3 linked regions of the Canis lupus familiaris genome follow. The main gene of each other region encodes a partner of the protein of the gene in region 3 in a complex. Links are inferred from orthologs where the notes say so. Each region holds a gene or a part of one and is shown on either strand. Other genes may lie near its edges.

The links. The genes of interacting proteins can lie anywhere in the genome.
Region 1: the proteins of DOCK5 (region 3) and RHOG are in contact, whole or in part, in a cryo-EM structure (PDB 8XM7), measured with the Homo sapiens proteins. The link is inferred for Canis lupus familiaris from reciprocal best matches to the Homo sapiens genes DOCK5 and RHOG. Residues at the interface, in NP_079216.4 of Homo sapiens: Val232, Phe345, Asn393, His394, Lys395, Gly396, Trp400; in NP_001656.2 of Homo sapiens: Ala121, Pro123, Leu126, Arg127, Arg128, Lys130.
Region 2: the proteins of DOCK5 (region 3) and ELMO1 are in contact, whole or in part, in a cryo-EM structure (PDB 8JHK), measured with the Homo sapiens proteins. The link is inferred for Canis lupus familiaris from reciprocal best matches to the Homo sapiens genes DOCK5 and ELMO1. Residues at the interface, in NP_079216.4 of Homo sapiens: Met1, Ala2, Arg3, Trp4, Val14, Ala15, Ile16, Tyr17, Asn18, Ser22, Gln23, Gln30, Ile31, Gly32, Asp33, Thr34, Glu39, Tyr41, Gly43, Trp44, Arg46, Tyr48, Lys56, Ile58, Pro60, Glu61, Thr62, Tyr63, His65, Leu66; in NP_001193409.1 of Homo sapiens: Ile7, Val8, Lys9, Ala11, Tyr18, Pro19, Leu21, Glu23, Glu36, Asp39, Gly40, Ser42, Asn71, Gly72, Gln392, Asp393, Leu400, Glu401, Lys468, Arg531, Glu535, Leu536, Lys539, Leu547, Gln550, Gln551, Asn554, Arg555, Asn582, Thr688.

What each region holds. Positions count from the first base shown.
Region 1 is NC_049242.1:26,499,437-26,506,784, forward strand, and holds the start of RHOG (rho-related GTP-binding protein RhoG), read right to left. Parts: upstream 4,079-7,348; 5' UTR 3,976-4,078; intron 1-3,975.
Region 2 is NC_049235.1:48,788,812-48,795,926, forward strand, and holds the start of ELMO1 (engulfment and cell motility protein 1), read right to left. Parts: upstream 4,079-7,115; 5' UTR 4,042-4,078; coding exon 3,953-4,041; intron 1-3,952. UniProt on the Homo sapiens protein: Involved in cytoskeletal rearrangements required for phagocytosis of apoptotic cells and cell motility. Acts in association with DOCK1 and CRK. Was initially proposed to be required in complex with DOCK1 to activate Rac Rho small GTPases.
Region 3 is NC_049246.1:32,422,958-32,429,987, forward strand, and holds the start of DOCK5 (dedicator of cytokinesis protein 5), read right to left. Parts: upstream 4,712-7,030; 5' UTR 4,667-4,711; coding exon 4,624-4,666; intron 1-4,623. UniProt on the Homo sapiens protein: Guanine nucleotide exchange factor (GEF) for Rho and Rac. GEF proteins activate small GTPases by exchanging bound GDP for free GTP. Along with DOCK1, mediates CRK/CRKL regulation of epithelial and endothelial cell spreading and migration on type IV collagen.

The DNA.
Region 1 (7,348 bases), on a different chromosome or scaffold from region 3:
TCCCTTCCTTCCCATTCTAGCACCTGGGGTGCTCCTCAAAGGGTGAGCCCCAGGGCCAGGGCGGCTCTGGGTGGGGGAGCTGAGGAGGTTGCCCCTCCCCCACCAGGCGGCACAGAGGAAGGCTCCAACACTTGCTTCCTCCTCCCCGCTTCACAGGCTTCACAGCAGCTCAGCAGTCCCGGGGCCCCATGAAAGGCCTGTGAGGTGGCACTTCCTTTGCCTTTGCTCATTTCACACGATGCTGTACAGAAATGCCATCCTCCCAATCCTGCCTCCCCCACCTGAAAATACCCACAGAGAGACCCAGGGCCGCCCTGTCCCTTCAGCCCCGCCCCAGCTCTGAGGGGGTTTCCACAAGGGAAAAACACATCAGGGAGGAAACTCCGGCATCGATTTTCCACTGTCAGTGGGGCAGAGCTGGAACAGGGCAGAGGGTACTCCCCCCATATTGCTGCCCCCTGGCATAATCCCCGACATTCTGCCAAATTCTCTTCTTTCAACCCGTAGGAATCCTTGTGCTTTGGGGGAAAGGAGCCACAGGTCCCATTGCTGAATAGATAGAGACTACTGAGGCCTGTCAGATCAAGGCTGGCATGAGACAGGAGGGCCCAGAGTGTGTGTGTGTGGGGGGGGGGTACTGCTACAAGGAGCCCCTTAGGGGAAAGAGACTTAGAATTCTCAGTATTCTCTATGCTCATTAGAGGTATTAACAGGCAACTCCTATTGTTGGAGCTGAGCCACAAGAGACAAAGTTGACCAGGGTTATACAGATTTGGGAGCAAATCCAGGGCAAGGACCTGGGTCTCTTAACCTCCAGCCTGATGTCACTTCCACAAAGAAAAGTTGAGAACTGTTACTCTGGCCTGGGAATGGGCCCATGTTTCTGGCCTCACTTAGGATGACCCTACAATGGTTTTATTCCTTCAGGAAATGGGCCAAAGGGATTAGGTTGATGCCCAAACCCATTCTGCTTCCAAGTTCCCTGGCTCTCATGTCTAGCCAACATGAGGCTGTCCATGATCTAGAACTGATACTAGTGGACAGACAGCCACCCTAGCCTGCCCCAATTGAGAAGCTCCCTCTATAAGCTCTAGCTCCTGGGCAGAAGATGTCCTCCGCCCATGACAGGAGGACAAAAGAGGAAGCTAGACCCTAGACAGGAAAACCAATCTGTTCTGGGGAGGCGGCCCAGGCTTTGTCTTTGGTTTCCCTCCTCACAGACCCCCTACAAGCCTCACTACTAATGGGTCTACACTGTGTATGGAGGGAGAGGTCTTCATTCTGGGCCCAGGCCCCCACCTTCTTCCCAGCTGCCCAGCTACCCCCATTCTAATATCTTCCCAACTGTCTCATTATAGCTACAACTTCTCATATCTTCCTGCTATAACCTCCTAAAAGCTCACCTCGGCCACTTCATCTGACCTAACATTTGGCCAGAAACAACTCTCCATATCCTAGATTCCCAACCAGGATCTGTGACAATCTCACATTAGCCATTTCTTCCCCAAATAAGGACTGGTTTAGCAGGTGGGGAGTCAGAACTCCTGGATGGTTTTTTAATGAGCCACGATGCTGAAAAAGTGCCTTGCATGCACATCCTTCTCTGAGCTGGAATTTTTTGCAGGTTCCTGGGATTTCCTCCTGGAGTGGAACCACCTGTACCTCCCAGAGTGACAGTAGGAGATACGGTGGAAGAAGGGACAATTCACGGAAGAAGGGGGAAAGGCTAGAATGAGGAACCGGGTTAGCTCTTAAATCTAGTTGTGCTTGGGAATCCCAAAAAAGTTCCCCTCCACTTCTCTTTTTTTCTAATGGGGAGAAATGAATACAGTAGACTTGAGGTGGAGAGGCAGGATCTCTCAGCATGCTTCCCAAAGACTTGAGGAAGGAGCTTTAGAATGGGGACAAGAGCGCGTAGAGCCAAGCTGGACTGAAGTTAAACTTGAGAGGAACTCCTGAAACACAGGGAGTAGGGTCCTGGATGAGAGGGGGAAAATTAACAATGCCTGAAGGCAGAGGGGTCGGCAGAGGACTTGTCATGGAGACCCTAATGCAGCCAGGGCACGTGAGTTCCCAGGCTGGGCAGGCCCCAGAAGGAAGGAGGGAAGACGGGGCAGACACTTCTGCCTTACTTCCTTCTCCTTAACTAAAACAGTAAAGACTTAAGTTAGACCAGCTATCTAGTCTTCCCTCCAGAATCCTGCCTTTGTCCTCTCCCTTTCCTTCCACCACACCTAGCTGACCTCATCCCATTTTCCCTAACAGGTGGTGTAGGAACAAGCAAGCACTGGAATCAGGGGCCTTCAGGCTCTCTCCCAGCCTCTATACCTGGCCTCTTGGTTAAGCACCCAAGGGTTTGGGTGATTTGATTTCCCACGGCCTCGCTCACCAGTCTTATTCCTGTGTCACTCTACCCTTACTGCTACAGACTGCTTCCTCCTGCCTAACCACAACCTCACCCACTGCAGGTTCCCTTCATTCTGCTGGTTTCCCCTGCCCTGGGCCCTCTCAAGGCTGAGGGCAGTTATTTTGTCTCCAAGAGATAAAGACATAGACACATTGACAATCCCAGGCAAATACACATAGAGAAAAGTTTTCCAGCCCTTTAATCATCTTTATCACTGGGAGGTTGTAGCCTGTCTCTCTGAGGTCGGGAGATCTGAAAAGGCTCTCAAACCCACCAAAGTTCTGGACCCCAAAGCCAGAGATAAGTGGCTGAAAGGGAAGGAGACAGGGAGATTAAGAGAAGTGAGGAAAGGTGGAAGAAGCAAGAGGGTGGATATGTGTTTGGGAACCAGTAGGGGGGCAAGGAAGGGAGGTGGGGAGGCTGCAGGGAACAGAGGTGGACAGAGGGGCAGGGCAGGTGACAGGACAGGACCTGGGCATGACAGTGTGTTTAGGTGAAAGACTACAGAGGATGCAAGAAGAGGGTGATGGAGTGTTTGCAGATAGGGTCTGAAGAAGGAATGGAGGAAGAGAAATGAGAATATAGAATTTAGGGACTAACGATTGGGTGGAGGGAATAGGAGATGCTCCCAATTATTTCCCAAGGCCAGAGCTGGCACTGCCACCCAGAAGGTCTGTTCTCTCATCCCCTCAAAATAGCCCCCATCTCAGCGATGCCACCTTGTCAGGGCCTATCAGCACCTCTGAATGAGAGTCCTTCCACCGCTAGTCACAAGACCAGGCCCTCTTCTTCCTCAGTTTACCCCCCAAAGAGCGAGGCCAGGCCCTGGTCAGCCAGGCACAGAGATGTTTGCCAACTAAATACCTGTTGCTTCATTCCAGGGATGGAGAGGTTGGGCGTCAGAAAAACAGGCATAGAGAGCGAGACTGCGACTGGCGGGGCTCCCCCCTCCCTGCCCTCCCCTGAGTGCACAGGACCTTGGACTGCAGCCTGCGAATGCGGGTCCGGATTGGCACTTGCAGGGAGGGAGCTCTATTCTCCGCAGTCCAGGGCTTCGAGGGCCCCAGACACCGCCCCCCTCCAACCTCCAACCTTGCAAGTGTCACAACTGCCGAGCGGAGGGGAGCACTTTCTCTGCAGCCCAGGGGGCCCCCTTCCTTCACGCAATTTGGGACACCCCCCTCCCCTTCTGAGGTCACCCCAGCCCTGAATCCCATCGCCCAGCTCCGAGCTCTTCCACTTCGGAGACTTTTCTCTCGGAGCCGGGGACTCTCCCACCTCCGCGGTGCCGCCTCCCCGGGGACAGAAACCCACCGTCACGGTACCGCCGCCGGCTCGCAGGGGCCGGCTCCCCGCCCGCCCGCCCGCCCGCCCGGCCGCGCCCGCCCAGCTTGCGGAGAGCCGAGAAGCTCCCGCCCGCGCCTCCCGCAAGCGAACTTCCCCGGCCCGCGCCGCGCCCGCGCCCGCGCCCGCGCGCAGTCCCTGCCGGCCGCGCTCCCCCGCCCCCTCCCCCGCCCCCTCCCCCGGCCCCCCGGCCCCCCGGCCCGCCGGCCCGCGCCGGGCCTCACCTGGTGCCCTCCCCGCCGCGGGGGAGCTGGGGGCGGCGGCAGCGGCTCCGGGCTCGAGAAGGAAGTGAGAGCGGGAGGCCGGAGGAAGTGGGGGGGGCGGGCCGGCCGGGGCGGGGCGGGGCGCGGGGCGGGGCGCGGGGCGGGGCGGGCCGGACCGGGAAGTGCGCGAGGCCCGGGCCCCCCGGCCGGGGTCTCCCCCCCAACACCTGCCCGGCGCGGTCCGGGGTCGGGCCCTGGGCTCCCTAACCCCGGCCCTCTGCCTCGGAGGGCCCTAAGTCAGGTCTCCTAAGGTCAGTCCTGCCCGTCTCCTCCGTGCCACCCCACCCCAGTCGAGGCCGTAGCCGGGGCCCCAAGCTTTTGTCCCCCTCCCCGTATCTTGCCCCACCCACTCCCCGCGGGAAGATGCTGAGAACCGGCGCCCCAGGGTGGGCGCCTCGGTCAAGCCCAGGGAGGGAGCGCTGGCCCAGCCTGCGGGTTGGCCGGAGTGGGTCCGGCTGGGACAGTCCCCACCCCTGCCCCGAGCCCCAGCGGAGCGCGCAGTGGTGGTGATTCAGCAGTGGGAAGGCCCCAGACCCCTGGGGAGGGTGCGGAGACTGGGGGCAGGGGAGCTGGCGTCAGCACCCGGGGAAAGACAAGATCAGCAGAGGCGCCGACCGAGCCGCGGGCCCCAAAAACAGGATGTCGTGTCGTCGTTCCGCAACCGGCTGCTCCGTGCGCTGGGCTCTGGGGAGGGGAGGGGGCGGGGCGGGGCGGGGCGGGCGGAGGACGTAGGGCTCCCCTCGCCCTCGCCCTCGCCCTCGCCCTCGCCCTCGCCCTCGCCCTCTCTCTCCTCGCCGCCGGGCGCGCCACCGCTTAGGGCTGCAGGGCGGCACCCAGGCCCAAGATCCTGCCGGCGCCCCGGGGACAGCTGGGTGGACGGGCTCGCGGGCGCCCTCTGCTGCTTCTGCACCCAGGTGTTGCTCAGGAGCTCTGACGGCTCCAGAAGGGGCGGATAGCCTTCCTCCGTTCAACCCAAACTTTCTGAGCGCCTACCACGTGGACAGCTGCAGCTCCGTGCGGCGTTTAGGACAGGCTCCCTGTCTCCAAGAGGCTTTCCAGATAAAAAGGAAGAATAAATAGCGTAACCTTCTGAGCCTCAGTTCTATCTTTGGTAAAATAGAATAACCTCTCCTTCGTCCTGTAGAGGGGAGATAACATGAGAATGGATGTAAAAGGCCTGCTATTGGTGCCCGGCTCAAAGTAAACATTCAACGAATGCTTTAAAAAAAAAAAAAAAATCATGCTATAAGAATAAGTTTCCGGGATCCCTGGGTGGCGCAGCGGTTTGGCGCCTGCCTTTGGCCCAGGGTGCGATCCTGGAGACCTGGGATCAAGTCCCACGTCGGGCTCCCGGTGCATGGAGCCTGCTTCTCCCTCTGCCTGTGTCTCTGCCTCTCTCTCTCTCTCTCTCTGTGTGACTATCATAAATAAATAAATAAATAAGTAAATAAAATTATTAAAAAAAATAAAAAAGAATAAGTTTCCTAAACACAACATGTCTGCCCACATCTTTGGGTCTTTGCCCCTTCTATTCCCTCTGCCGTGCCTTCTTTCCTGTATTGATTGCCAGGCGAAATCCACTCAGACTTTCACAATTCGGCCCCAAAGGACCACTCCCTGCGTGGTTGCCATCACCCTTCCTCCCACAACACAGATACACCCACCCCACCTCTGCCATGCGGTTGATAGTCTCTCCCGGTGCTGTCTAATGAAAATAATGTAAGCTACACATGTAACTTAAAATATTCTATTGATGACATTTTTTAAAAAGTAAAAAGAAACAGGTAAAATTAATTTTAATGATATGTTTTACTTAGCCCACTATATCTAAAATGGGATCATTCAACATGTAACCACTATAAAATTATTCACTATACAAATGAATAGGGTATTTTACATTCTTTTTTTGTACTAAGGCTTTGAAATCTGCTATGTGTTTTATACTCACACTACATCTGAATTTTGACTAGACATATTTCAAGTGCTCAACAGTACACATGGCTAGAGGGTATGGTATAGGACAACAAAATAGAGCCTCTGTCAGAGTCAAGCTGGTAGATGACTGAGTAGGTGAATTCATTCTCTATGAGCTTTCTGGGTAAGCTTGTCCTGATCCTCCTACGTGGAGTTTGGGTCTCTGTCCTCCCTCCCCATAGCACTTGGGACAAACTCCTCTCTGTGGAGAAGAGGAGAGCAGGAAAGACAAAAGGAAAATCTGATGCCCCTCTATACCCTACTAGGAACACCTGGCTGGCTGGTGCTTGGCGTTTGATGATGAAGAAAGCATTGTGCGTTTCCATAAAAGACAGGGTTCAGTGGAGGAGTACATACTAAAGCAGCTTCTAGAAGCCATTAAAAATTATGTCTCAGAACAAAGGTTTTTGAGCTGAGTTCCTAGAGTTCCCCTCCCAGGATTTGAAGGGAGGAAAATAGTGGGGCTCTGGCCTCCCTTCCCTTCAACCAGAGTGATTTTGCTTTTATCTGATTTATATACTGCTATTCTGGATAAAGAACTTTTTTTTTTTTGTTTTTAAGACTTATTTATTTGTTTGAGAGAGAGAGTGCACGAGGGGGAGGAACAAAGGGAGAGGAAGAGACAATCCTAAGCAGACTCTGTGCTGAGCATAGAGCCCCCTACACAGGCTGATCTCATCACCTGAGATCACAGCTCCAGCCAAGAGTTAGAGGCTCAACAGACTGAGCCACGTAGGTGCCCCAAGAGCTTATTTTTAAAAAGTTTCTTGCAAAAAAAATTTAAAAATCAACTTTGGGATTTTACTCTGCACAAGACTAAGAGTAGAGTAGGAGAGTAAGAGTAGGGTGCACATTATACACAGTAGACCAAAATGCTGGATTGGCAGCATGGAGTCAGACTGAATTTCCAAAGCTCTTGGTCTTGGGCATGCATGGCCTCAGTTCAGCTTGCTTAGGTGGGAGAACCTGACTTGGCCTCGAGGATTTCATAGTCTGGTGGGATATGGGCCTGCTACATGTGAAGATACCAGAGGAGGAAGAAAGAGCCCTGCGCTGTGCTTCAGAGGACCTGAAGTCTAGTCTTGGCTCAGCCAGACTGGCTACTGAAACTACCCAGGCCTCACTCTTATCTGGGTTTCAGACTCCTTCACTGGAAAACAAGGGTTAAATCAGATAATACCTTTGAGCTCTGACTTTCTATGATACACTCTTTAGAATAATAATTAGGCAATTAAGGTTTATGTATATAGCATATTCTTTAAAACCATTTAGGTCATCTTGCTTTGTGCTCTAGTTAATTGTATCTGTCTCCCCCACTGACTATAAGTTCTTTGAGGTTGTGTCTGATTCATCCTTGTGT
Region 2 (7,115 bases), on a different chromosome or scaffold from region 3:
CCTCCTCTGCCTCCACCTCCATCTTCTGGGGGAGCAGAGCGGGATACAGGGGCTATCTCTGACCCCACCCCACTCACGGTAATGCCCTGCTTTCTAGGGGAGTATTGCCCTGGCTAAAGCAACACATGTTGTGAAAAGACTTTCTCCAGGGGCGCCTGGGGGGCTCAGTCTTACGTTAAGCATCTGCCTTTGGCTCAGGTCATGATCCCTGAGATCAAGTCCAGGAACTCCCTGCTCACTGGGGGAGTCTGCTTCTCCCTTTCCCTCTCCCCCTCCTCACTGCTCATATTCTCCCTCTCTCTCTCTCACTTATTCTCTCTCTAGTAAATAAATAAAATCTTTAAAGGAAAGCCTGGGTGGCTTAGTGGTTGAGCATCTGCCTTCAGCTCAGGGTGGGATCCCAAGGTCCCGGGATCGAATCCCACATCAGGCTCCTCGCAGGGAGCCTGCTTCTCCCCCTGTCTATGTCTCTGCCTCTCTGTGTCTCTCATGAATAAATAGATAAAAATCTTTAAAAACAATAATAAAAGAAAAGACTTTCTCCAAGGAGTGTGACCAAACAAACACCGGATCTGAAGTGGTTATGCATTATCAATAAATTGTACTGGTTTTCCACTCTCCCAAGGAACCATCTCTCTGTTTCTTTCTTTGGGCTGAAACTCTGAGTTGGCTCAAGATGGAAAGGGGTCTGCAAGAGGAGCCGCTGGGCATGGTGCAAAGGACAGAGGAAACAATCAAAGCCTGTTACCTGGATTCGCTTGCCACTGACACTGCAATATTTTCCCGGTATAATTCCCGTAACAGTCATCTCTTACTCAGTCCATCAGCAAGTATTTTTTGAGCACCTATTGTGCTGGCAATCGGTCTAGGTTCTGAATCTACACAGAAGAGACAAGGTCCCTGCGCTCATGGAACTTTCATTCTAATGGGAGGAACAGACATAATCAAATAAATAAATGAATATATAATGTGCCAGGGGGTGAAAAGTGCTCAGCAGGAAAACTGAGTAGCTTAAGAGGACCAGAGGGGGGGCTGGTTGCTATTTCACAGGAGATAATCAGGAAAGGCCGCCTGTGGGACACCTGGGTGATTCAGTCAATTAAGCATCTGCCTTCAGCACTAGTCATGATCCCAGGGTCCTAGGATAGAGCCCTTAATCAGGCTCCCTGCTCAGCAGGGAACCTGCTTCTCCTTCTGCCCCTTCTCCTGCTCATGCTTTTTCTCTGGTTCTCTGTCAAATAAATAACATCTTTAAATAAATAAATTAATTAATTAATAAGGAAAGGCTGCCTGTAAGCTGACAATTGGGCAGAGAGACCTGAAGTGAACAAGGGAGTGAGCTATCTGGAAATGCGGGGAAACATGCTTTGTGCAAAAGGAGTAACATATTCAAAGGCTCTGGGGAGAGAACTTGGTGAAGAAGAATGTAAGGTGGTCAGAATGGCTGCAGTTAAAAGCAGGAGAGACACCTGGGCAGCCCAGTCGGTTAAGTGGTTAAGTGGCTGACTTGGTTTTGGCTCAGGTCATGGTCTCAGGGTTGTGGGATGGATGGAGCCCCACCTCAGCAGGGAGTCTGCTTGAGATTCTCTCTCTCTCTCTCTCTTTTTCTAAAATAAATAAATATTTTATTTAAAAACAGCAGGAAGATGAGACATGGGGGAGGGGGGGTGGAGATAGGACCATTCATGGCACCACCCATCCCGTAGTCCAGTGCCTGCACCTGAATTCCACAAGACTCAGGCCTGGGCCTGCAACGGCCCCTTCCCTGATATCCACCAAGCTGCTCCCCCAGTTCCCTTCCCTCCTGACCCCATCCCCCTGCAGACTTTCAACACTCCTGGTCATTCCCTCACAGTTTCCCCATTAGACAACCAGTCCATCTAATTAAAAAAAAAAAAATCTGAGTAATAGATTCAGTAGGAAAAAAGGCAACATTTAACCACAGCCCTCCAGAGAGAGGAAATGTACCCTAGTCCGGAGCAGGGGTTCAGAAGGGCAACTGTAAAAAATAAAGTCCGCCACATGACAGCAGGGCATCCGGGCTTCGAGGTTCTGTAAACTGAGGGACAATAATCCTTGAAATAACCTTGGGAAGTAGGTATGGAGGGGAGACAGGAAAAACATGACCAGAAGAGGCCCTTACTAAGAGCTGCTGTCTGGCTTTTTTTTTTTTTTTCCTTAAGATTTTATTTATTTATTCATGAGAGACACACAGAGAGAGGCAGAGACACAGGCAGAGGGAGAAGCAAGCTCCCTGCAGGGAGCCTGATGCAGGACTCCATCCTGAGACTCCGGGGTCACTCCCTGAGCCAAAGGCAGGTGCTCAACTGCAGAGCCCCCCGGGCATCCCTTATAGAGATTTTCCTCTTATTTTTGTGTTACTGTTACCTTTCTTTAAAAAAAAAAAAAAAATTTTTTTTTTTTTTTAAATTGGAGTTCAATTTGCCAACATATAGCATGACACCCAGTGCTCATCCCGCCAAGTGCTGGGCACTGAGGGGGGTGGGGGGCACTTGGCGGGATGAGCTGCCGGCTTTTTGATCTAAAAGTGAACCTGAGTAGGGTTAGGTCCCTCCTGGGGTTCTTAAAGTTACCCCTCAGAGAGTCCATGCCTAAATACACATCATCAGTTACTTTTATTTCAGAAACAAAAGAAAGAAAAAAAAAAAAAAACCACGCCGGCAACACTCCTGAAGTCTTCCGGTGCCCCCCACCTCCCAGCCCCCCCAAGCCAGGACCTGCGGCCTCTGCCTCCCGGGGCGCGAAACCTAGTCTTGGCGCCTCTGGAAACCTTGGATGCAGCGGGCCGGGGCGCACCCTCCTGGGGCCGGGAGCCGGGAGCCGGGAGCTGTCCAGGGGCCCCGGCCGGGCCCCGCGCGCCCGCCCGCCGCACCGCCAGCGACCCCCGCCCGCCGCCGCCGACTTGAAGCGGCCCCGGGCGGGAGGCGGCACCGGGGGCCACTCGGCGGGCAGCCCGCGCCCCGCGCCCCGAGCCCCCCGCGCCCCGAGCCCCCCGCGCCCCGCCTGCGCCCGCGGGCTCCCACGCTCCCCGCCCTCGCGCGCGCCCGCGACCCGCTCGGGCTCCCCGGCCCCGGCCCCCCGCGCGCCCCGGGCCGCCGCCGTGCGCGTCTCCCTCCCTCGGAGCCACCCGCCACCTGGCCGCCCCCCGCGGCGGGGACCCGGGCCGCGCCCCGCTGCCGCCACCGTGCAGGGCCGCCCGCTGCGCCCCCTCCCGAGCCGCGACCGCCCTTCGGGGCCCCCTCCCCGCCGTCCTCGCGGTCCCAGCGGCGTCCCCAGGCGCGTCCCCAGGCGGCGGGGACCCGCCGTCTCCCCCGAGGGTCCCGGGCGCCCCAAGCGCGCCCCCTGCCCGTCCCCATCGCTGTCCCCTCCCCGGGGCGCGCTCGCCGAGGGCTTCCCTCCCACCCGCGGGTGCGGGAGCAGAAGCCGGGGTCCGAGCCGCCGGCCCCCCTCCCCGGCGCCCCTCCCGGCGCCCCTGCCCGGCTCGGGCTCCCGCTCCCGCTCCCTCTCCCGCTCCCGCAGCGGCCGCCGGGCGCTGCCCAGACTTCCCCGAGTGCGGAGCGCCCCGAGCGCACGCAGCCGCCCCCGGCTCCAGCCGCGGCGCCCCGGGGGAGCGGGGGCGCGGGCAAAAGTGTCTCCGCGGCGCCCGGGGCGCCCCCCGGCCCCGGGGCAGGGCGCCCCCTCGCGAGCCCCCCGCCGAGCCCCGGCCCCCGCCCCGGCCGCGCCGAGGTCAGCGAGTCGGGGCGCGGCGCCAGCGCAGGAAACTTTACGAACCTGCCCGGGGGTCGCAGGACGGCGGCGGCGGCGGCGGCGCCCCGCGGCCGCGGAGGGGGCCCGAGGCTGGGTCCGGCGGCTCGGGGCCGCGGCGGGGGGGGGGGGGGGGGCGGCTCTGCCTCTACCCCGTGCCCATCCCCGGCCGCGCACACGCACTCACCCTGGGGCCCCGCCGGCCGCCGCGCCGCCGGCCGCCGCTGCTCTCACTTCCTCTTCCTCCCTCCTGCTGGCCGGAGACACATTGTGCATCTGCAGGCATCCCGCGGGCGGCCGCCGAGTCCCCTCCCGGGCGGGCGGCCCTGCCGAGGGGCCGCCGCCGCCCCCGGCACCTGCGCGGGACTCGCGGGGTTGGCGCTGTCCCCGCCCGCGCGCCCCGGGAGCTGCCGCCGCCTCGGCCCTGCGGGGCGGGGGGCTGCGGCGGGGACGGGGTGCGGGGCCGCCCACCACTTTCCGAAGTCCCCCTACTTAAAAATAAGGAAAATGTCAAGCACCGTGCACGCCTCAGATCGGCTATAAATAATATGTGTGCAGAGCATGACTTCTCGGATGAGCTCACACGCGGCGCTTTGCAGGCACTAATTAACTCCGTCACCGTCATAGCGCCACCTCCGGGAGGCCGAGGGCGCGTGGCGTCTTTTTATATGCTTTCATTTTTGGCAGCTGGCATGCAATTTCGAGGGGGTGGGGGGGGAGACTTAGGCGGGTTGTTTTAAAGCGACTTTAAAAGGCGTTTGGGCTTACCCCGGAGCGGCCTGGCGAGGGTAACCCAACCTCTGCTGCTCTCTGTTGGAGCCCCCGAGGCATGTGCGCCCTGCAGTTCTCATCAGTGACCCCAAGGACTCCCTAACTTGGCATGACTTTTCACGAAGCGAGACGTTCTACCCTCCCCAGCTCGGTATTGGGGGTGCACTGTCTAATGCGACCCACTCCAGTGATTTTTCAAAGCAAAGAATCAAAAAATACTAACTCCCAGCCTAGCTGCCAAGGAGGCAAGTGACAGTGGTTGGAAGGTTGCAGGAGAAACACCTGTCCTTAACAAATTCAAAAAGAAAAAAATAGCTATCTACCCGAAAAGACAAAGGCGGTTACTAATGCATTCCCTTCAAACTGGCCAAGTTGGTAACCCGGGAGCAGGGAGGCATTGGCCTCTAAGGTGGAGGGTAAAACTCCTGCTTAAATTGCAGTCCCACCCCCTCCCCTGTGCTGGCAGCCAAGAGCCCCAAGCAACTATTGAACACTCCAAATGTGGCTCGCCCTGAGATGTTCTGGAAGTGGAAAACAGACACCGGACTTTGTATGAAAAACAGAATGTAAAATAGCTTGTTAGAAACTTTTATGCTGATTATAGCATTTCAACAAATGCTAATAGTGTAAGATGTGATCAGTCCACTGGGTTATTTTATTAGGTTAAAAAATACATATATATAATATATATATGTAAAATGTATATACAAATAAAATATATATAGTGTAAATATATACAACATATATATAATTTAGAATATTTTCACTATTTTCTTTTTACATTCTTAAATGTTTTTAAGATTTTAGTTCTTGGGCAACCCAGGTGGCTCAGTGGTTTAGCACCACCTTCAGCCCAGGGCCTGATCTTGGAGACCCGGGATCGAGTCCCAGGTCAGGCTCCCTGCATGGAGCCTGCTTCTCCCTCTGCCTGTGTCTCTGCCTCCCTCTCTCTCTCTCTCTCTCTCTGTATTCTCATGAATACATAAATAAAATCTTAAAAAAAAAAGATTTTAGTTCTTTAAGAAGTTAGGTTCTTTAAGTAATCTCTACACCAAACATGAGGCTCAAACTCACGACCCGGAGATCAAGAGTCCCACGCTCCACCGACTGAGCCAGCCAGGCTTTTTACATTTTTAATGTGGCAAATAGAAAAAGTAAGATTACACAGATGGCTCTCGTTAGTGGCTCACATTCTATTTCTAATGAGCAGCCCTGATCTGACCTCTTACTATATGCATAACCTCTGGAGGCAATATTAGTACCGGGAAGATTTGGGTCCAGATCATTATAAGCCAATAACTTAAAACAGGATGATTCCAGAAAAGTAATTTATCTTCCCTATTTCCTCATCTGTAAAATGATAATGATATAATAACAGTAAACGGGCTAACTATCAAAATGAAGCAATTGAATAAGCAATCAGCAAATGGAGCCTTTATTAATGATGCCATGAGGCGCTTGTAATGATAACTAAGAATTTGATCCACAACTTTTTAGCTAAGGCATATCAAGATTTTAACTATAGCGCAGAGCATCACCGGCACTCACGAAATGTTAGCTGTCGTAATGTTCCAAGAGTAAATAGGGAACTCTGTCTCCCCTTGCACAGCAATTAGAAAAATCCACCTCCTTGTAACCTTTGGTCCCAGCTCTGCCCTCTGCAGTTAACATGGAGTACCTCACATCCTTCCTCTAAGAGATAACTTGATAGATCTTTAAAGACATTGAATTCTAGCTAAACATTCTCTCCTGAGGACTGACTTTTCTCGATTATTCTAACTCCTTTTTGAGTCCTGTGGTTTCAAATCTCTCTCATCTTAGCCATCTTTCCCTTGAAAGATGCCAGTTTCAGCTTTTAAAAAAAATAGTTGTCATATAAATTAACCATTAAAAACAATACAGCCTGAGGTCTTGTCAATTATTTTTCAAATGTGTCTCTATCCCACCACCGATCCAATGGCAAAGCACGACTGGAAATTCTTTGCTACGTTACTGTTAGGCCATGTCTCTGCTTTTGGGGTTGATATAGGAGACCAAAGTCCTCGGTCCACCTTCTGTAAATCTTTTCGGATTTGATGCAGGTGCCCAATGTCACCCCATATCCACAGATGAGGTAAGAACACTAGGGTTCTGGATGACACCCCACTAAGGGGCTCCCTCCATCACGATGAGGATCCGATTCTTTGGCTTCATTAGTTCCACTTTTTTCCTTTTTCCCCCCTCTTACTTATATTCCACAAATACTATATAGTGAGACCCTGTTCTTAATCTCCAATTTTATTCCTGTTAAGCATTGGGTCTAAGGGTCTATCTGAGGTTTCTTCTTTAGTCATCCAGATTCTAACTTGTCCATTAACTTTATCTATGGCCTACAGTATTAGGAGGTAAAATATCCCCTTCCTTCTATCTAGAACCTGTATTTCTAATTGCTATTACTAATAAGGTGCAGGATCAAGGAAAACCCTCTTAGGGAATAGTTCACACTCTGGATTTGTCTGTTTCTTATGATGTTATTTCACTTACCCCTTTATCCTTTGTACTTCTTCTGTAGGAGTTGAGCTTCAGGTTAATGTGGGTAT
Region 3 (7,030 bases):
TAATATCTAGCAGCATCTGCCTCCAGTAGACAGATGATCAACAAGTGTTACTGTTGTTGCTTATTCTGGTTCCATAACTAATTAACTGTGTGATCTTCAGCCAAGGATTTTTAATCTGTGTTCAAATCCAGAGATCTGGGCAGCCTGGGTGGCTCAGCGGTTTAGCACTGTCTTCAGCCCAGGGTGTGTTCCTGGAGACCCAGGATCAAGTCCCATGTCCGGCTCCCTGCGTGGAGCCTGCTTCTCTCTTTGCCTGTGTCTCTGCCTCTCTCTCTCTCTCTCTCTCTCTCAATCTGTCTCTCATGAATAAATAAATAAAGTCTTAAAAAAAATTCAGAGATCCATGGATTTGAAATGGGAAAAAAAAATGCATCTCAATTTTCTAAAACTTAGTATTTAATTATGACTGTAGGCAATAAACCCCAACTTGTACCAAACTGAAATCATAAGTATTTTCATATCATTATCATGGTTACTGCAGATATCTTAAAAAAATCATATATACTCATCACTAATTTGAAAGTATGGTAGTTTACAGACATGCCACTAGATCTTGTTATTTAGTGCATTAATAAGCACACGTATCACAATATTACAATTTTGAAAAATACCCTGACAGCTGTATTTCAATACAACTGGGTTCCATTTTCAATTCCTCATAGTTGACTTTATACACTTAAAATCATTATTCTAAGAAAGGGATCCAGTGGCTTCACCAGAGGACCAACAGAGTTCATGCAATCAAAAGGTTATCTTGTGTTAAGCAATTCACTTTACCTCTTTAGACACCAAGTTCCTCTCTTTAAAGGGAAACTGGATTAGTTATTCCCTCAGACCCTCCTCTTGAGGATTGGATGGGAACCACAGCACACCTGAATGCATTAACAAAGGGCTACAGGAGTCTGCTTTCAATTTTTTACATCAGCATTTGAGTCTCCTCTACTAAGCTAAATGCTTTCAGATTAATGAGGCCTAGCAGAACCAACAGATGAAGAGCTAATGGTGAAAGCAAAGATGCTCCCACACTACCTTTTATCACATTATAACAATACAGATCACAAACAATAATGAATTGTTTTTGCAACAACAACAAAAAATCAACCAACAACATAATCTGGGACCGTTATTAATAATAAATAGCTTGTTTGGGAGCAGACTTAAAACATAAATGTTTCAATAATCAGAAAAGTAACCTGGATATATATCACTGACATTTGTTTGAAATCTAAATAAAAGTGATTATATCCTCATGTCCTCGAACAGAAAAAAAATTCAAGAAAGAAAGGGGAAAAAAGAATAAAGGAAAAGAAAATAAAGAAAATGGAAAGAAGAAAAGACAGTTTTCCATGGCTGTACGGAAGAGCACTTGCTTCCAAGCATTTGGCACGTAACACTTCACACCAGGATACTAATGGACTAGAACTTTAAAAAAGCAAATCTATTGGTCCTTTCCCTTGATAACAGATAACACACATGGGTCATTTAGGCCCTCCAAAATGCTAGAGATTGAGCCAACAGAGCTATGTTTAAGAACTAAGAAAGCCCAGTCAGATTGCATTTCAGTCCCCATAGAAAAATCTAGGCTCTGTCAGGAGCAGCCAATAGTGGCACCAAGATAATATAAGAGACTGCTAGCTTCACTTAGCAAAATTCAAATTGAGATCAAAGCACTACCCTCACACAGAGTAGCTGTGAGTCATTGAAATGCTTCAAAATGACTATCACATGGTTTCCTTCACCCAGAAACACAATCTGACCAGCAGACACTCGTAAGTGATAACTATCCCCCAAAAAGTCCAACAAGCCAATTTTCCTAATTATATTTAAATGAAGTCTGTCTACTCGATGCTTCCTTATTTTCTCAACAGCACATCTCATTTTTCTGCTTGCAAAGAAATAAAGACACCGAAGGCTCTCACTACGCACATTTAACCAAACAAAATAAAACTCATACTGTGGTGAATGGGGGTGGGGGGGTGGGGAGAGGAACTGCATTAAATCATCATGGAAATGAGGTTAAGGCTTTAGAGTGTCACCTCAACAGCAAGGACAAGCAGTTACTGAATACAGGCTCTCTACCTGGTATCATGACAGGGATACAGAACCATAACCTGATTCAGTGAACCCAAGGATAAAAGGATAAGTAACAAAGTGTGGCACAATGTAGTGATTGTGAGGAGAGGCATACGGGTTTGGGAAGAAGGTCCGGTTCATACCAAATCTGGGGAAGCAATGCAAATGCATCTGAGCCCCCCGAGGAATAGGCTGGATTGGAGATGATACAGAACTGGGAGGGCACTCTGGGAGCAAAGTCCCAAAGGGAGAACCTCTTCATTGCATGTTGCACAAGAGCAGAGAAGGGCAGTGTCTGCCCTGGTAAGTTAATGAAAGAAGCCAGGAGAGATAAAGTTGGTGGAGACAGGTCGAACCAGATTATCATAACCTTGAAAGTTGGGCTCAATTTAGACTTTACCCCGGTAGGCCAAGGAAGGCTTCCAAGCGGGAGGCACTGAGAACAACAGAGAGTTTTAGGAATAAACAATGGTGATTTATCTCCTCAGCTAATCTGTCCTAACAGTGGGTCCTTTTGTCAAGCCAAGATTAATCAAAATCTATTGTGTCTAGTAAAATAAGTGTGCCAAATTATATCCTGGGGCAGTTTTGCTACCACCTATGCCCTGGAAATGCATTTCAAATGCTTTTCTTGACTGCTGATAAATAACATGGTAACCTGATTCCAGAATGGGGGGGGGGGGTAGTATTACTGAAAAGAAAACATGTCACACTTGCTCCTATGACTATGGTAATTAAAACCACATTTGAGGGGTATGCTTGGCATTAACTACATGAAAGTCATAGTGTTGGATCCTGTTAGAAACAAAATCAAAACTGCTATCTTTGTAAATAGTAACTAATGAGCAGGCATTGCTAATTATGCTTTAATTTAGTAGTACTCTGTAATGCTCAAAAATAAATCGATTCCATCTATCACAGACCATTTTCCTTCCATAACTACTGGCTACTCACTGGCACCTGCCTGAAGCCTCAGGACCAAATTCTGACCAGATACTGTGGGTCAGAAGAAACACTCATTTCTGAGTTGCTGCCACAAGAGAGTGCAAGGATTCTAAAGGAAATTTAAGAGGAAACAAGTTTTTTGGAATAGGGGGGCAACAAGGAATTACATATACACAGTACATATCACATATACAGCTACATATACACAGAAAGGGTCACAATTAAGATACTATTTTAAATGTGAAAGGGTTTTGTTGTTGGGTTTTTAACGGACTCTGTGGTTACAGAGTCGAAAAGCACCTAGAGGAGGTTGTTTAAAGAGTATCCCAAGAGGACTTCAGTGTGTCAGAAAGCACAGAAGCGCTGCAGGGATCCCTCCCTCCCTACTAACTGAAGCGGTAAGGAAAAATGGGGCCCGGGAAAGCGAGTAAAATAAAAGATTACATTACAGATGGACCGAATGAATGAACCTGGGAGGAAGTGATAAAATGCTCCACACACACAACTGTGTTTATTCTAGGGAACCGCTCGGAAGTCCACCTGCCCCAGGGATGGCCCGGCTCAGGGCAGTCTTTCCAAGAGACCTCAGCACGCGCGCGCACACGCACACTCACACACACACACACACACACACACACACACCAGGTGCAAGGACCGCGGTTTTCCACCTGGGTCAAAACCAGGCACAGCCAGGCTTTCGGGTCCCCAACAACACAACAGCCACCCCTCCGCGGGTGGTGGGGGCTCTGGAGCACCACCTTTAGGAAAGCCCAGTGCCTGGCCAGGACCTGCCACAGGTTCCTTAACAAAATATGCTCCTGTGGGGATCCCTGGGTGGCTCGGGGGGTTTAGCGCCTGCCTTCGGGCCAGGGCCTGATCCTGGAGTCCCGGGATCGAGTCCCGCATGGGCTCCCTGCATGGATGGAGCCTGCTTCTCCCTCTGCCTCTCTCTCTCCTCTCTCTGTGCCTCTCATGAATGAATAAAGAAAATCTTAAAAAAAAAAAAAAAAAAATCCTCACGTTATCTGCCCCAGGACGGAACTGCGGCCTCGCAGGGCGGTCGTAGGCGCCTTTAGGCACGCTCGGTTAGGGACGCGCGCGTCCGCGCCCCCAGCCCGCTCGCCGTCTCCTCCGTCTCCATCACCCCCACCCCACGGCTTGAGTGTCCCATTCACTTTACAACTGTTACCGGCATCCCAGTCCCTGGAGGAAGGGGGCGCCGTCCTACCCCCTCCCCCGCACACCTCACTTGGGGACCTCACTTGGGGAGCCCAGCAGACGGCACGCAGAAGCCCCGGGTCCGCGAGCGGACAAACCACTCCACGGATCCGCAAGGCTGGGGCGGAGAAGGGGGAGCCCCGGGCCCGCGCCCCACACCCCCGCGGGCGAGCGCTCGCTTTTGACGTTTGCACCGTGCACGGCGCCGGGGCTTCGGGTCCCGGAGCCCCAGTGCCGTTTCGGGGGGCGCTGAGACTCCCCACCCCGGGGGCGACGTCCCGGCCGGGCAGCGCCGCCTGCGCCCTGGGGGCGGGGGGCGCGGGGGGCCCGGGGGGAGCCTCCGCCGCGGGGCAGGGCCGCTCCCGCGAACTTCGGGCGAGCACTCACCGACCCCGTACTTCTGCCTCTTGGTCGGGATCCAGCGGGCCATGGCGGCGACCTCGCCCCGCGGCGGCGGCGGCTGCGGCTGCGGCGGCTACAGCTCCCGGGGCCCCGGCCGCCGCCGCGCCCCGCTCCCGCGCGCCCCGGGCTCCTCCGCCATGTTCCGGCAAACTTCGCCGCCCGCGCGCGCGGGACTCGCTGGGGCTCTGCCGGGCCGCCGGTCACCTGCTGGGCCCTCCCGGCGCCGCCCCGGCCCCTCCCGCCGGCCGCGCCCTCCGCCCGCCGGGGCCGCCTCCGCGCCCGGGGCTCCGCGCTCCGCGCTCCCCCGCCCCGCCTCGCGCGCTCCCCGGGAGCGGCGCCCCGGGGCCCACCGGCTCCGGCTTTTTCGTTTTACTGTTGCGCCCTCCGCCGCCTTCCCTTCGTCCCCCGTGAGACCCTCCAGGCTGGAGCCCGGGGCGTCCCTGGAGGTGGCGGCGCACCCCGGGGGAGCAGAGGCGCGCCCACCGCGCCCCCGGGGGGCCCAGGATCAAGTCCCAGGTCGCTCCTCGCCCCGGGCCCCCCAGTGCCTGGCACTCAGCAGGCGCTCAGTAAATATTTGTTGAATGAATGAGCAGCTGACGCTGCGCTCACCCCCTGCAGCTTTCACTGACCGAGAGAGAGAGAGAGAGAGAGAGAGAGAGAGAGAGAGAGAGAGAGAGAGCCGGAAGGACTCCAGGGCCCACAGGCTCTCCCGGGGCCACCCTTTAATGCTTTCCTTCTCTTTAAAAAAAAATTTTTTTAATTGGAGTTCAGTTTGCCAACATACAGCATAACACCCAGTGCTCATCCCATCAAGTGCCCCCCTCAGTGCCCGTCACCCGGTCACCCCCATCCCTCCACCCACCTCCCCTTCCACGACCCCTTGTTCGTTTCCCAGACTTAGGAGTCTCTCCTGTTTTGTCACCCTCACTGATATTTTCAACTCATTTTCTCTCCTTTCCCCTGTATTCCCTTTCACTGATTTTTAGATTCCCCCAAATGAATGAGACCATATAACGTTTAGAGCTTTCAAAGCAGGCGCATTCGTCTTCGGGTAAATAGAGACCTGGTGCGGGGGGGGGGGGGGGCGATGTGCACCCCAGAAAGGTCCGTCTCCTCGGGGAGCTCCGTTGGGGAAATTCTTTAGAGTTTAGAGAGCCTTAACTTGGAAATCCTGTACCCCCACCCCACCCCCACCCCAAACACCGGGACTCCTCCCCAAGTGAAGAGATTGAGGGCCCCTATGATCAAGGGAGAAGTTCGCCCCAAGACACACACCCCCCCCAACCGCCTTTTCCAAAAGACCAGCAGCCTAAAGAGCATCCCTGCGGAGAGGGGGACAGGACACATCCGAGTCATCTCTCCTTCACTGTATGGTTTTGACCAGCAGCCAAAAGCAAAGCCTGCTCTTCTGAACTGCAGAAGACTGCTGTTGGAGCCCTCCGAACGCCCTCCAGGATCTCACTTGCTCCTGGAGAGACCTCAGGACTGAAGATGGGATTAGAGACGCCTGTGCTGCCCGGTGGAGGGGAGGGATGCTTTGCTACCTTACCCATAGAAATAAAATCTCAGAGTAAATGACCAGCCGATTTATGTTCACGATTCCAGAAAATACCTCTCAAAAGAAACCGTTTTGTCCTTGCAGTCTGGGAAATTTGCCTTGCCTATTTGGAACATGAAAGAAAGGTAAAATAAACACGTAGTAAAAGAGTGAATCTTGGAAGGAAGAATTAGTGCATTGTAACTTTGGTAACTTTTGCAAAACCAGATCTGAAATTTTAAAAAAGGGGGGGGGGGGGCGGGGAAGGGGTCCTGTTCTAGGTGGGTAACTCCTAGGGCTTACTTTCTTCTCCATCAACAAATAGGTATTTATACACAGAGTGTGATGATAATTTAAAAATCTATCACTTGAGACAACATCCAGAAGGCATGAAGGCATTCCACCATTTCCCTGAAAAATAATTTCTCTTCCTCTGCCAATGACTTCATGATTAACCTAATTTCCCAGGCTAGATAATCTCTTCTTTTTTTCCACAGCTGTTAATTATGTGCGTATTAGGTGTCAAGCATTGTTCTTAGAATGGGGCACAACAGTGAACACCGTAAAATCCCTACCTTCACAGAGCCTACAGTCTGGAAGAGGAGAATAAAACAAAACAAATAAAGATATGCCAAACAAAGAAAGGCTAATCGTGTAGAGAAAACTACAAAACAGGGAGGATAGGATGTTTGGGATGCCATTGTTTTATACAGAGTACTCTGCAAAGGTGATATTGAAGTATAGACCAGAAGGAAGTAAGGATTCTAGGGAGAAATATTCTAGACATTAAGAACAACAGATGCAGAGGCCTGGAGGCATATTTAGCAGGTTCCCAAAACAACAAGGAATCCTAGC